Linked DNA regions of Diceros bicornis minor. Each later gene encodes a partner of the first gene's protein in a complex. Links are inferred from orthologs where the notes say so. Each region holds a gene or a part of one and is shown on either strand. Other genes may lie near its edges. The genes, in order: SATB1 and HOXB2.

Evidence for each region.
Region 2: SATB1 (region 1) and HOXB2 share a complex: the UniProt entries of both Homo sapiens proteins name them as parts of the nuclear protein complex. The link is inferred for Diceros bicornis minor from reciprocal best matches to the Homo sapiens genes SATB1 and HOXB2.

Annotation. Positions count from the first base shown.
Region 1 is NC_080741.1:24,481,624-24,489,158, forward strand, and holds the start of SATB1 (DNA-binding protein SATB1), read right to left. Parts: upstream 3,201-7,535; 5' UTR 3,004-3,200; intron 1-3,003. UniProt on the Homo sapiens protein: Crucial silencing factor contributing to the initiation of X inactivation mediated by Xist RNA that occurs during embryogenesis and in lymphoma.
Region 2 is NC_080757.1:37,430,190-37,437,655, forward strand, and holds HOXB2 (homeobox protein Hox-B2), read left to right. Parts: upstream 1-4,684; coding exon 4,685-5,063; intron 5,064-5,825; coding exon 5,826-6,508; 3' UTR 6,509-6,657; downstream 6,658-7,466. UniProt on the Homo sapiens protein: Sequence-specific transcription factor which is part of a developmental regulatory system that provides cells with specific positional identities on the anterior-posterior axis.

The DNA.
Region 1 (7,535 bases):
GTATGGCCCTTCTGGAAATTTACAGAGCAGATGAAAAACCACTAGAGTGCTTTATAGAGTCCCTGCTGTATATCCATGTTGTGTTTAGCTTAATAGTGTTTGTAACCAAAAGATTTTTACAATAATGAGGAACAGGTGGCTGTCACCTGAACTTTTAGGCCTAATTTACAATCCACAACCTGTCACATGAAAAAATAATTGAAAATCTCCTCCAGATATTTCAGTCTTTGCTAACTTAATGTAATCTTTCTTAACCATCACTCAGCATATCATATCTTATTCAATCGCAGGTTCATATAGCTGGCAACAGACTTCCTTGCAGAAATCAACCAACATTCATTTTGTTGTTGTTCTTGTTTAAGATGCTGTGAGACAAAAGAACTACTTTTGTAGATTATCAACCAAAGAATATATTAATTTATTACAACAACTGAACAAAAGGCATTCCTTTTGAATACTTTTATATACAAAGCACTATTATTTATTACATATTTCAGCTTGTGGGAAAATGAGGAATGCATTGATTCTGGAAATAACTATTCAGACTTTTCTAAGTTCTTTAGGTCTTCTCTATCTCTTTTTTCCCCTTCCCCTTGCCCCGCACCCCCATCCCCCACACATTTTAAGGCACTAGTTACTTTAGGAGGGAAATCCCTATTTGTTGTTTTTTCATCCATCATTTGTATTCATTATTCAGAAAGGAATACAAAATTGAGCAGTGATTTTTATTTCTCTTGTATAATCTCGTTACATGTAGCCATACTCAAATTTAACAATGCTTTGTATTTTATAGCTACTGTTTACATATTATGTATTACATATGACCGAACAACTCTACATTTAAAATATTGTTTCCATTAGAAAAAATATGAAGTAATAAGTGTCAAATGGAGATGAAGAATAAACATGCTTGGTATATTTACAAAATGTATAGTCATTTAAAATGTGCACAAATAGGATACATATTTTGCTACTGTTCCATTTTACATAGTATGCACATTGTCTAAAGTGTATTTAATAATGTGCCTAACCAAGTTAATTAAAGTATTTATGTCTGGTGATTGTGTTAAACACTTGGAGAGGTAGTGAAAGATACAGCCAGTTACTTCTGCTAACTAAAGTTGAAATTATGCACTTATTATAACCTTTTCTAACAATGTGAGAAAAACACAGTAAATATATTAAATTTGTTTCACAACAGATGCTTAGGTTGTTAATATTTAAGATGCCTATTCATGCTATTCCTGTCTGCACATTTGTCAAAAATGTAAGCTTGAATGCTAATGTTTGCCAGCAGACTGGAGCAGCCAGTATATGAATGTACTACTGTTCTACTAAAATAATACGCATAGAAATAAAGGACCGCTGCTAAATCGTAGCACTGGTACCACACAACAGATTAAAGGTTTTTAGAGCAAACACCTCAACCTTGGCTTTCTTCCGTCTTAAAGTACGGGTTTTTTGCAGCTACGTTTGACTATAGAATAAATCTTACATTCCTGACATCTCAGGAAAATCCACTTTAGATAAGGTGTAAATTTCAATAAAGTTTCAACGGGATGAGTTACTCCATCAGCAGCACAAACACTGTAGATTCAGGGACTACTTAGGACAAACCTGACACTGAGCAGTAGCGTTTGACTCATTCTTACCCCCTCCTTCTCTTCTTGGGAAAGTCAGGTCCCCTGGCCTCCAGGAACGCAAGCATGGAACCCCAGCCAGGGCAGAAAGGTTCTCTCCTGAGAATAAGACGTCTTTCTGTTTTCCCTTCTCTTTTACTATCATGGGAGTCCAAGTCTTAAAACATTTGCCTGGAAATCCGGAACGCCGCCGAGAAAGTTCGCGGAGGAAGGGCGCAAAGGTCAAAGTTGCCAACCAGGGTACTTAGAGAGGCGATCCTGTGGTTGGCACTTGTAAATGAAATTTGCAACGCCCTGGTGGAGGTCCGGGCCAAAGCCTCTAGCTAGAGCCCTAAGCCCCTCTCCGTCTCCTGAGGTCATCCCAAGAGTCCCGCTCAGTGCCCTTCCCCGGTACACGCGTGTCACTCCCCGGACCTGCCACCTGCCTGCTTCGTCCCTGTCATCGTGGTTGCCCAAACCCACGCTCTGCCGCCCCGGGAGACTCAGTGGAGCGCTCGGAGAAGGCCGCCGCGCTCGGGTCGGGACTGCAGGAGGGAGACACGGTGTGGACTCCGAGGCCGCACCTGTGATGTTTCGGTCCCTGCAAAGAGGGCAGCACCTCTTCCCGCCTCCAGCCCAACTCATAACCTCCAAGCACGCCAGGAACCCCTTCTGGACCTCACTACAGCCGGCGAGGGCTCGAAACGCGGAGTCCCGCGGCTTTCAAACTCCCGGCTCCAACTTGAGCGCCCCGGCGCCCGAGTGCCTCCCAGGATGGAGAAGTTGCCGCAAACTTCCCAGGCCCCTCTCCACCACCGCTCCCAACCAGCCGCGCCAGTGGGGGGGCGGAGGAAGGCGGAGATGGACCGAGGAAGGATGCTGAGCTCACTCGCGATCCGGCGGGGGAACGTTTCCACTCCCCCAGCCTACTCCGGCGGGCACCCTTCTGCCAGCCCGGCTCCGGGGAGCACAGAGAGGCTCTCCCTTTTCCCGTTTGCTGACTTCGGTCTTTTCCACTCCCCTTTTCTCTTCCAAAAGGAGTCACACTGATGACCTGAAGGAGTTTGTTCAGCCAGGGTCTGTCGGGCAGGTGTGTTAGTGTGTCCACACCCTGAGAGAGAACGAATGGCATCTTCAAGTTTCCCATCTCGGGTGCTCTTCCTCACTCTGCCGGCCCACCCCTCCGGGATCCGGCTGCGCGAGAAAGGGGCTCGGAAGACCCCTGCCGCCGGGCGCCCACGAGAGGAGAGCCGAGCCGCCCCAACAAGGGGCGCCGGGGGTGGGTGCTACAGAGAAGTTTGGATCGATTCCGGAAAAAGAGAGAGACAGAGATAAAAAGCAAGAGTGGGGGGGCGGAAAAGAGAGGCAAAAGAGCACAACTCACTCAGGCATGGGCGTTGGGGGCGGCGGTGGCTGTCGAGTGCGGGCCGGAGACCAGGAACGGCTCCCCGGGCGGGCGCGCCGGCGTCGGACTTCCGAGGCGGCGGCTTCTGCCTCTTGTGCCGCCGCCGCCGGAGCTGCGGCTGCCGCGGAAGTTAATTGCAACTTGACTTCAAGTTGTCTTCTTTCCCCATCCGAAGTGGGCGTTTAAAGGGGAGAGCGAGGCGAGGAGCGAGCGAGCGAGCGCGCGGGGCCGAGGGAAGGAAGAGAAGGGGGGGAGGGAGGAGATGTTAACAGGGGGGAGGGGGAGGGGGCGGCGGCGGGGGCGGGAGGGGGAAGGGGCCGGCGGGAGCTGCTCTCGGCTCGGCGGTCGCCGCGCCCGCAGTCTAGAGGCGCACCGGAGCGGCCGGGGCGCCCCCCGCGGGAGCCCGCAGCCGCCCGGGGCGCGCATCCAGCCGCGGCTCCTCGGGCCGGGCACGCTGCGCCCGGGGGCTCGGCGGACCCCGCGTCGCCGCCGCTTCGGAGCTTGTGCGGCGCGGGCTGGCCGGAGGGGCGGCGAGGGCCCAACCCGCCTCCCCAGCGCCCGCCCCGGCTTCTCCCCCTGGCGGTGGAGCCTCGGCGGCCGGCGGCACCACTAGGCGCGCTGGAGCCCGAGCCGAGCCGAGCCCGAGCCGCCGCCGCTGCCGCGCGCCGCTCCCAGGCTCCCTCCCAGCGCGCCGGCCGGGGCGTGGGGGGCGGCGGGCCGGAGAGACGAGGGCGGGCGGGGGACGCGCACTGGGATTGGCGCCGAAGACCGGACCCTCAGCTGCCAGGGGTAAGTGTGGGCGCCTGGGAGTGCGCCTGGGGGTGCGCGGCGCGGTTCTCGACGCTCGCCACCCTGCCCCCTCACCACTCCGGGGCCCCCACCGCGCGCACCCCTCCTCTTGCCGCCTGCGGCTTCCTCTTGTTGTTGGTTGTTTGGCTGAGCTTTTTTTTGGGGGGGGTGAGGGGGGGAAGTGGTGATTGTAGTGTGTGTGCCAGCGGAGGAGGAAGTCAGGTGAGAAGCCCCGATGCAGCCCCCCCCAACCAGCCTGCGTGGGATGTATCGCTCCCCACTAGGGGCATGTGGGCCAATTTTTTTCTCTTGTCATGTTCAGCCGAGATGATCTTTCCTAGAGGGCCTCCTTCCCTTACAGCCTGCCTTGTCCATGTCCTTTCACCCCACCCTCGCCCCTCTCAGCGCCCCATCCAGGAGCGCTGCATCCCAACGTGGCGGAAGGAGGAGGGGGCCCTCTTGCAGACCCTCACGCCGCACCCCTGCCCATTTAATATTTATCCTCCCATCAGCAGCTGTACTTCAACCCACTGGAAAAAAGACGCCTAAGCTGAGGTCCAATTTCTCCAAAAACCTGGAAGCAGAGACGGCGAGAGATAAGGATTTAATGATTGGGGGACTTGCAGAGGAGAAGGGGCCTGGGAACCTTCCCAAAAGGAGACTGAAACTCCAAAAACGTCTGCAAGATCAGAGTGACTGGAGGGTCAGCACCCCAGGCTCAGGAGAAGCTGGACCTAGGTCAATTTTGCCCCTCTCCTCCTACCATTCTTCCCCCAGCTCTAAGGTTGCTAACAGGTCTTTTGTTATGTGTTGTGTCGTTTTAAGGAAATTTGCATTGAGTATGACAACAGAAAATTACTACTGTTTACTCAAAGTTTAGGGGATTGCAGAAAGAAAAAACATAGTCATTACTTTTTTTCTTTGTGTGTGTGTGGAGTTGTTAGGTTCATGGCATGAACGGCAAAACCTCAGTAATAATAAGGACTGTAGAGCCGCCTCGGTATATTTTTAGAAGCTGCACTTTCTTGAGTTCCTTTCACACAAAGCTTGCTCTCTCATTAAGTCCCCATAAAGAATTGTATTTAGAGAGAAGGAAACTATGGAAGCAGGAGTGAGATTGCTAAGATCTCCATCCCGCCAGCGCAGAGTACTGTTTGCAGTGAAGTTCCTGGAAAGTGACTGTGGGCTGAGAATTCAGTTTTTCCTAAAAGCTCTGTTAGGTCCTCTTCTATCAGATGTCTATGAACAAAGTACAGCATGCTGGGAAAATCCTGTTATCCGTGCAGTCTTATTTTATCTTTTACACAGTGGCTGATTCTACTTTCAAGTTCTGGTAACAAACACATCAACTGTGCTGTATTTTTGTGCGGTTTTTCTAAATAAAGGAGAGTAGCACAGTGTAGTCATGCTGCTTTCTGACATGCCAGTTCTTTTCTATCAATCAGTATTGAATTTGCTGGAATTTATCCGTCTTTTTCAGTTGATTGTCATTTATGCAGAGACAACAATTCCAAAGACATAAGAATATAAGAAGTTTGTGAGTTAGTGTTTTTAGAGTACTAGCCCTGATTTTTAAGACTTAAGTGCCCACCTCAACTCCTGGTTCTATAAGGCAAAGGAAAAAAGTATAAATGATTGCAATGGGCAAAGAAAATGAAACACAAATTTTTCTTACTGGAACACTTTCTGCCTCCACACCACCCAGGAGACACCAAATCCTCCTGCCTTAATTTACCAAAATGCTGAATTGCCTAACCAGTACCAATATCTCCATCTGGGGATGACATCAGGTTTGGAACAGAAAGAATAAATTCTCAGTCTTTAATTACTACTGCTTATTAGCAATTTCTTGTAGCAGGCAGCTGATTCTCCAATTCTGAAAGCCTGAAATGAAGCTTAATAAAAATTGAAATACAGAAAAAGAATTATTTTTTCTCCCTTACACACTCTTACATACTCTTCTACTCCCCCAAGTTATCAACTAAGCCCCTAGAATTTAAGGTGTGATATGTTCCCCTGCATTAAATCAAGGGAACATTTTGCCCCAACCTTTTGAATTTGCTTTTTTCCCCCCTAACTGGTCTTATACAGAGAACTCATAGGTTCTATTATAATACAGAATTGTGTAATGGTGGGTACAGTACATTAAGTAACATATCTTGATAAACTCTTATGTAAACGTTGCCCCCTGGCGCATAGTAGGAATACATTAAATACTTACTGAATTAAGATGTTAATGAAATATTGTAATTGGCCACAAATTCAATAGTACAGGGCTAGGGCTTCTTTCAGAAGAAAAAGGCACTTTGCCGGAAAGTTATTAGGGTAATACATTTGTGCACCTAGATTTTTTTAACAAGTCGGAATCTAACTTACTAAAGACAAGTAAACCGGAAACATATCAGATGGTCACTAATAATAGCTAGTGTCAAAAGCTGATTATTTTCCTAGGAGAATAGACAATAAAGTATTGCCTACTAAATAGGATAAGAAAGATATAGAGGAAGGATAAAACAGCATTGGACTTTAAGGCACTTATTTGCTGGAAAAATGACATTAAAATGTGAAAAGACAACTCAATGGATCAGTAAATGATTTGAATCAAAGGAATACTTGAGGAAATAGATTTTTTTTCTCTTTTAGACCAGAGGAAATAGACATGCTGAAGCTCCAGGTTGGAGGGTATTTTTAAAGTTAATTTGTCCCGTCAAACCTTTTAGGGGCCGTCAGTGCAAACATCTTGGGTGAAGGAGAACTCACCACTTCCCTCCATAAAGGCAGGGATTTTATCTACAGAATACTTAGCACAGAGTAGAGTTCGATGTGCATTGTGGGAATGAATGAGTAAGATCCTAAGTAGTTCATTCCATCTTTGTACACTGTATTACCTTTTTTCTTAAATTGCACAGAACTGGTCTTTCTGAAACTTTTGACCACCAGTCTTAGTTCTGCCGTTTGCAGCAAAACAGAGGAAATCTGTTGTATTAGTCAGAATAGACTATGTTATGCCAAAGTGACAAACAATTCCGATTTTTAGTGGCCTGTAACAGCAAAAGTTGTTTTCCTGGTCATGCTATGAGTACATTGCAGGTCACCTGGTCTGTCCCATGTCTCCATATTCAGGGTCCTAGGCTGATGAAACAGTTGCCATCTTGAATGTTTTATGTTGCTATGGCAAAAATAAAGATCACTCTGTGGGTCTCATGCTGGCATTTAAATGCTGTGGGCAGAAGTGACATGCATCATTTGGGCTCACAACTAATTGGCCAGGACTAGTTGCCTGGCTCCATGGAATCGTCACAACGAGGCCAGATGGTGCAGCCTACCTTGTGCCCAAAAGTAGAGACCTGTGGTGCACAGCTCTAAGGACTACCATACTCGTAGTGACCCTTGTCCACATGATAGCCTCCAGCTACAGGATCTCTTCCTGCCGCTTTGTGCCCCAAATGTCCCATTCTTCAGGGTAAACACTGCCTGAGGGGCCACCAGCTTATAGGGAGATATAGCGTTATCTCCCTATAAGAGAGGGAGAAAGTAGTCACAAAGTGGCTTCTTTCACCACCTACTCTCTCTTTGAATACAGCACTGCAGTCCCAGCTCTCTCCCCCTAAAGTGTGGCACCCTATCAATTTTAAGTTACTCTTTGTATATTTACTTGTTTTCTGGAAAGGGTACAATGAACAGGAACTTTCAAGAACTATTATCTGAAGATGTCATGATCA
Region 2 (7,466 bases), on another chromosome or scaffold:
TTATTTTCTTCTGTTGCTCTCTTGACTTAACGTGAAAACAGGGTATATTTTAACAAACTGTCTGTCCCAGGCAGGGGCTGCTGCTGGGCCTGTGTGCCTTGCTCAACCTCCTGACAGGACACTTTTGTTGCACTTAGAGTTTACATTTTAATGGATATAAAAACAACTGTGAGAGATGCCTGGGCCTGTAGGAGTCCAGCATCGCTCAAAAAGCGTGTGTTCTAGTGAACATTTTCATATATATTTATTGGTTATAGCCTGTTAAAATATTTTCTTTTTTGTATTATTTATCCCCCTACATTATGTATTTATATGAGGGAAAAAATTGTACTTTTTTTAAGTATTTACTTGTTATAAAGGACATTGTGTTTCCTGTCATGTAAAAACAGCTATTTTAGTTATTATTGTACTCTAGAAAAGAGCTGTAGATTTATGTTAAATTCGTACTTATGAGCAATTGTAATTAGTTCTAAAAGGCATGAACTCAGCTCCTAATTGTCACTGTATAGTCCTGAATTTGTAGAATTAGAGTTAATTCTCTCTTGGAACTTTCTTTGTTGTTCCGTAGTTACTTTTTTCCTTACTTAAAAGGGTTGTCTGTCAAACAATTCTTGAATAAACTTTCTGTTAACAATTTTATCTTGTCCTGGTAGTCCAATTTAGATAGCAGAGGGAGGCTGCTGACTGCTCAATTTCCCCCAAGGGAAGAAGGACACTGAAGACCCTCTTCTGGCCTTTTTGTTCACTGCCCAGACCCCTGCCTCCCCCTCGCTGTCTCAGGTTTATATAGTTTTTGTCACTCACAGGAGCCTGGAACATGCTGCCAACTTCTTTAGCTAAGATTTAAGTAACAAGTTGAGGGGGAAAGGACTCTTGGGTGCTCTCTCTAGGTCTTTTTGTTTGGCTTCTTTGCCTCTCAATTTTTCTCCTTCATTGCCCTTTTGTCTTCTCACTCCTTGGCCACAACCTCCTCGCCACCCCCCCCCAACACACTCCCCCAGCAACAAAAAAATCTGGCGTATTAGTGCTTCTTCCATGCAAGCTAAACTTCACAGTTCTCTTCCGGAGCTACAAAGAAGTCGTCACGTGACCCGAAGCCCAACCACCATTGGGTCTAAAATGAAAACAAAGGAAAATGATTAATCTAAAAAAAAAAAAAAAATATATATATATATATATATATATATATATATATATATATATATATAAGGCCTAGGCTTCTCAGGTCAAACCTTAAAACTAAAGTGAAATTAAATCACTAAATAAAACTGGGGGCGGAGGGAGAGGAGGCGCCTTCTATTTCCCCCGCCAGGGAAAGGAGAGAGGAGGAGGGTGGGAGAAGCTGCTGGATCCAAGCGTAAATAAAATGGTCCCTAGGCTAATGTGAGGCTCTGTTTCCACCATCCTTGGGAAAACTTCATTTCTTAGCCAGGGTTCCATAAAAGTTTTATCACATTGGAACGAGGATAGAGAGGGTCTGTCAAAGATGAAATGTCACCGCGCGTCGCTGGAACCGATAAGAGCGAGGAGACAGGGCGGCTGAAATATGGAGCTAATTCGTTGAAAGAGAAGCGATGGCTGCTTGCTGAAGAGTTGCATAATTGTAAGCGATGCACCCGCATTGCTTAATTAGGAGCATATATTTGGTGGTAGTGATGTGGTGGTTGAAGGGGGGAGGGGGGAGTGTGGGTGAGAATCATTCCAGGGCCTCAGCCTTAAAGCGAGGGCTGATTTTCATTTTTATGTTGCATCCTGGCAGTCCAAGGTTAGTAATTACAGTCTTTATGCAACAATAAATAACAATAAAAAAGCAACCTGAATTCTACACCCTCCCCACCACCACCACCACCACCACCACCACCAGCACCAAGTAGGATTTTAACTGGACTGGGCTCATTCAAGCAGCAAGCAATTTAGCATTGGGTCAGGCTATAATTTAAAGGCATAAGAGCGTGCAAAGTTTGACTGGGATCAAATAACGCTCAGCGGTTTTTCTTTCTGTCTGTCTTTCTCTCTCTTCCTCTTCCCTGAATATCATTTTCTGAATGATGTAACTAGATGAAGCGCCATGTTTGGCTCTGGGGGTGGAGTGGATTATGTATCTAGCAGGAGAGAGGCAGGCCAAGAGAGAGAATTCAGCTCCAGTTTGAAAAACAGAGTTTTGGCTTGAAGCTGGAATTACAAACAAGAAAAATAAGGGCTGACTTGGCTTGGTGTCCCCTGCCCTTCTCTCTGCGAAATTCCAGGCACTAACTAAGCAGCCAAAGTCATGGGGAAAATATCTGTTCTGTAAGATTCACAGCACAACAGAGGGGCGCGGAAGCGGTGTCTCTGGGAAGGAGGGTTCTCTTGGCCCTTTTTAACACCCAAGTTTTCTGCTGTTCTCTAATCTGGCTGTAAAATCTGTCAGCAGGGTTAGAGAAAGCCGTATTTCTTGCAGGGACAGTCTCTGCCGGAGTTGTTTCTGAGAGGAGCGTTCTGGGCTCTGCAGCCAGCTGAAGAGGCTGTGAAAAAACTTCCAGGGCTTCTCAACGGGGTGGCCAGAGGGAGAATCCTCTCAGGCCTCAATGCCCAACTTCCAGACAACTACTTGGATTCTTCTGTGTCCACCCCCACCCACAACCCCATCCCCACCTACATCCCCATTTCCACCCCCAAATGGCAAAAATTGCTAGCTTTGGAGCTGGACACAACTGTCTCTGGCCAGTTTGCCCAGTTCAGAGCAGCTCTCTCTGTTCTGAGCCCTCCAGCGCCTGCCACCCCTGGCTCTGCAGCCCCTACCTCCAGCTCCTCTTCCTCCATCCTGGCTCTCCTGCACCCCCACCCTTCCCCTCAGACTTCTCTGTCGTTGTTAAATACTCACCACCACCCACGGACTGTTACATTGACAGAAAGTTTCCAGTTCCAGCTCGGGGGCTGAGTTGCCATTTCTCTGCTAACCAGCCTTCTCTTCCTTGCTGGGCAGGAGAGAGCGAGGAGGGGGAGGGGAGGCCAGAGCCGTGGGAGTTCTCCAGACAAACTTTCCACCCAACTCAGCGCCCTTCCTTCTGTTCCCATTTCCCATCTGTTTCCCGCTCTCCCGGAATCACCTTTCTCTTTTGCTAACACCCTCCACCCCCAGGCCTTTTAAAGGGATGTGGAATTTCTGCTGTTCCCTCTGCTTTCCCAAACAGCCAAATTCTTTGATGCCATCGGAGGGAGCTGTCAGGGGGCTAAGATTGATCGCCTCATCTCCTCTCCGTCCCTCTGACCCACTTATTTAAAAATCTTCCCCCAGATCGACTTTTCATTTTCTGCTTTGAGATCTAGTTTCCCACCGATCGCTTGGGGCCCTGAGTCTTGTGCCCCCTCCCTCCAGTAAATTATAGCACTCTCTGAAGTTCAGACTATCTTGATCCCCTCAAATTAAAAAAAAAAAATTCTTTCCCAAGGGGCCAGAAATGGAATATCATCTCAGTGGTCATTATTTCCATCCCCTCCATGTTCAAGGAATTCTTTCCTGCCAAGGATTTTTTTTTTTTTTACTAGCACAATGGCAAAAATGGGAGGAGGAGTCTCTTTGTCCTAGGGGGGAAGTCCTCCCCCCATACATTGACCTGAGCTTGGAGAGTGCTCTAAGTTCAATTGGTGGCTACCTTCATTCTTGTTCATGTCCCTGGATATAAATGCAGATACAGGCTTGAGCTTTGAATGGGTGCATACGCATCTTAGACCCTGCCTGTTGGGGGGGCGGGGATCATAGATGATGGCAGATGCCACCAGGTGAGGAGGGCAGGTGGACCCAGGGGCAGGGACAGTACTGCAAACACAGAGAAGGGCAGAGAAGGGAACTGACACCACACAGCTACAGAGGCCAGAGATCCAAAAGGACCCCTCACCATCTATCTCACTCCTCTGTGTCAGCCTGGGAGTGCCTGTCGATTTTCCAAGATTTATCTGTTGCTTTTGGGGGGTGGGATGGGGATAGTGGTACTGATGATTGTAAATCTCCTCTCTTCCTAGTGTATTACACGTTAACACTGACCTTTCCCAAAGGGTGGAAGCCTCTTCCTACTACCTTGTCCTTCCACATGGAGATCCTCCCTCAGCTTTCTTTTTGTGTGTTGGGGGTGAGGGTGAGGGTGAGGGGGGAGAGTATGTAAAGAAAGCATTAATTTACTATTAAAAAATATTTGGCAAAAAGGAAGATTTCTCCCTTAGATTCTCCTGTTTTCCAGGCTTCCATAACCTCCCATCCTCTGAAGGGCATGAGACAAAGGTTCCTCTAGCTTTTCGGGAGAAAGGGAGGCATTGGAGAGATGGCGTGTAGGACTGGGGGGCTCATGGTGTCCAGGTCGTGGTCCTCTAGAGTTTTTGAATCAATTAAAGCAAATAATGCTCTCTGTTTTCCACCAGGCCCAGACGAGCCATTGGCCAAAGCCAGTCCCGTGACCACGAATTCCCTGCAATTTCACCCGAGTCCTGAGTTTAATAGAGAGAGTCCCCATACGCTTGTATTTATCAGCAATATACAATTATAAAGGCCCAAAATAAAAAAAAAAAAAAAAGGAGAGAGAGAGAGCAAAATCTCCCCCTCCCGATATCGCTCCATCACATTAACCTGGGGGGGCAGGAGGGGGGGTACCTTCCGATCCTCCCTCCTGACGCCCCCCCCAGCAGGCCCCCTCCCCCACCATTGAAAGCCATGAATTTTGAATTTGAGAGGGAGATTGGGTTTATAAACAGCCAGCCATCGCTCGCCGAGTGTCTGACTTCCTTCCCCGCTGTCTTGGAGACATTTCAAACTTCATCAATCAAGGAGTCGACATTAATTCCTCCTCCTCCTCCTTTCGAGCAAACCTTCCCCAGCCTCCAGCCCGGCGCCTCCACCCTTCAGAGACCCGGGAGCCAAAAGCAAGCCGAAGATGGGCCCGCTCTACCGCCGCCGCAGCTCCCCGCCGCCCCCTTGGCCCCCGAGTTCCCTTGGATGAAAGAGAAGAAATCCGCCAAGAAACCCAGCCAATCCGCCACGTCTCCTCCGGCCGCCTCTTCCGTCCCTGCCTCCGGGGTCGGATCGCCAGCAGGTCGGTAAGAGGGGTAGGGGTGGGGTGAGGGGCAGGTAGAAGAGAGGGAGAGAAAGATCGATGGGGGAGGTAGAAAAGGTGGCGAGCTTGCTGGGGTTCCTTGCCCCCGTGGATTTCAGGGACGAGGAAGCAGAATATACCGCTGAGGTTCAGGCCTGGTCGCTGCTAGCATTTTTTTTTTTTTTTTGTCCTTACAGCAGCTTTTGGAAGCTGGTTGGGGAAGAGCTTTTTCTATGCTAGAAGAAAAGGATTCGATTGAGGTTTTCACCTTTATCTGTGTGCAGGAGTGAATGTGTTGTTGCTGGGGTTGAATCTGGGGGCAGGAAAAGATTCAGTCCCATCTTTCCCAGATCGAAGAGAAGAGGGGGAATTTGAGAGCTAGGAGGAAAAGGGGTGGGAAACCATCTTTCTTTACGAACCCTCTCTCCGGGCTGAGTTGGAAAGTGCCGAATAGAGAGGTCCACTCGGAGGACTTGGGAGGGGGGCTCTGAGGTTCTGGGGGCGAAGAGGAGCCGCTCCCTACCCCCTGCGTGGGCCGTGGGCGGCTCTTTGAATGCTTTGCCCTGACCTGGGCTGGGTCTGCCCGCGAGAGAGACGGGAAAGAACGGAGAAGCAGTGGGAGCGAGCTGCCTAGGTAGGCGGGAAGGAGGGGGGTTGCTACTGATATTGTTTTTGGCAGATGGGGTAAGTCTTTACTTCAGCTGATCTAAGGTTGGGCTGAGGACGCGGTCCGCTTTGACGCCGAGCCTGCTTTCCCTGCAGATGGCCCGGGACTGCAGGAGGCTGCGGGCGGCGGGGCGCGCAGGCTGCGCACGGCTTACACCAACACGCAGCTGCTGGAGTTGGAGAAGGAATTCCACTTTAACAAGTACTTGTGCCGGCCGCGCCGCGTTGAGATCGCGGCCTTGCTGGACCTCACCGAGAGGCAGGTCAAAGTCTGGTTCCAGAACCGGCGCATGAAGCACAAGCGGCAGACGCAGCACCGAGAGCCGCTCGACGGGGAGCCAGCCTGCCCGGGAGCCCTGGAGGACACCGGAGAGCCCGCCGAGGAGCCCGTGGCCAGCCCCGGCTGCCAGTCGGCCTCGCGGGCGGTGCGGGACGCCTGCTCTTACCCGCCCGAGGTCGCGCCGGGGCCCCCGGGCGCCCCGGGCCGCCAGCCTTTGGCCACTCGCGTGGAGGACTCGGGTGCGCCGAGCCCCGGCTGCGCCCTGCGCGGGGCCGGCGGGCTGGAGCCGGAGCCCTTGCCAGAAGACGCCTTCCCGGAGCGGCAGGATTCGCCTTTCCTGCCCGACCTCAACTTCTTCGCTGCCGATTCCTGTCTCCAGCTGTCCGGAGGCTTCTCCCCCAGCCTACAAGGCTCGCTCGACAGCCTGGTTCCCTTTTCCGAGGAAGAGCTGGACTTCTTCACCAGCACCCTCTGTGCCATCGACCTGCAGTTCCCCTGACCCGTTTCCTCCTCCCGGCCCTTTCGACCCCCGCCCCCCTCGGCTGTCTGCTGGAAAACCCGAGGACCCTCCTCCCCAAGTCCTTTAGACTTCTTTACGTGTTTTGCTACAATTCAGGTATTATTGAATTAGCGTTTAATCCACTTCGTTTCTTCTCCCTCTAAAATATTGGGTCTTTTTAAAATCAAAACGGAAAAATTCCGTTTGGTAGACTCCTTCCAACGAAATCTCAGGAATAATTAAACTCCGGGAGGGGGGGCTTTCTTAAAAAACAACTAGAGGAACCTATCCCCCCCTTTTTTTTAAGTTTTAGACCTTAGATTATTTATTAAAATTCTTTAATAATAGGAAAAGGGAAAAGTATTTATTGTACATTATTTTCATAGATTAAATAAATGTCTTTATAATACAAAAACGAGTGTTTGTGTTGGGACCCACCCCGCATCCCCTCAGGACCTGCGCGAGGTTTGTCTGGCCTTGGGCCGGCTGAGTCCGGGTGGTACAAAAGTGCCCCTACTTGGCCGCCGCTTCTCCGCCCGCAGCTCCGGAGAAAGTCTGGAGTTTGCTAGAAGCTCCAACACCTCGCCTCCGCCTAACAGACGGCCTTTGGCCCTGCGCGGGTGTTCCCAGGCCTCTGCTTAGACATAAAGGTGGGCGAGTGGAAGGAGAGGCTGTGTCGCCAACAGAAGAGGGTGCAAAAAGAGGAGGCCTGGGGACTGGCTTGGGAGTCGTGGCGCGGGGCGCAGAGGTTCAGCTGAATTGGGGGGAGCCTAGGGTTCCCCAGGCTTCTCGCCTCAGTGCCCAAAGCGGGGTGGAGGGGCTTTTTTACCCCCACAGGCAGGAAGCCTGGGGACGCGAGGCCTGGGGACATGGGCCGGGCCAAGGAATGGAGTAGGAGTCGGGGGTTTTTTCGGGAAGGAAGGCCCCATGCCCAGGACGGTAACTGGTCTCCAAGTGG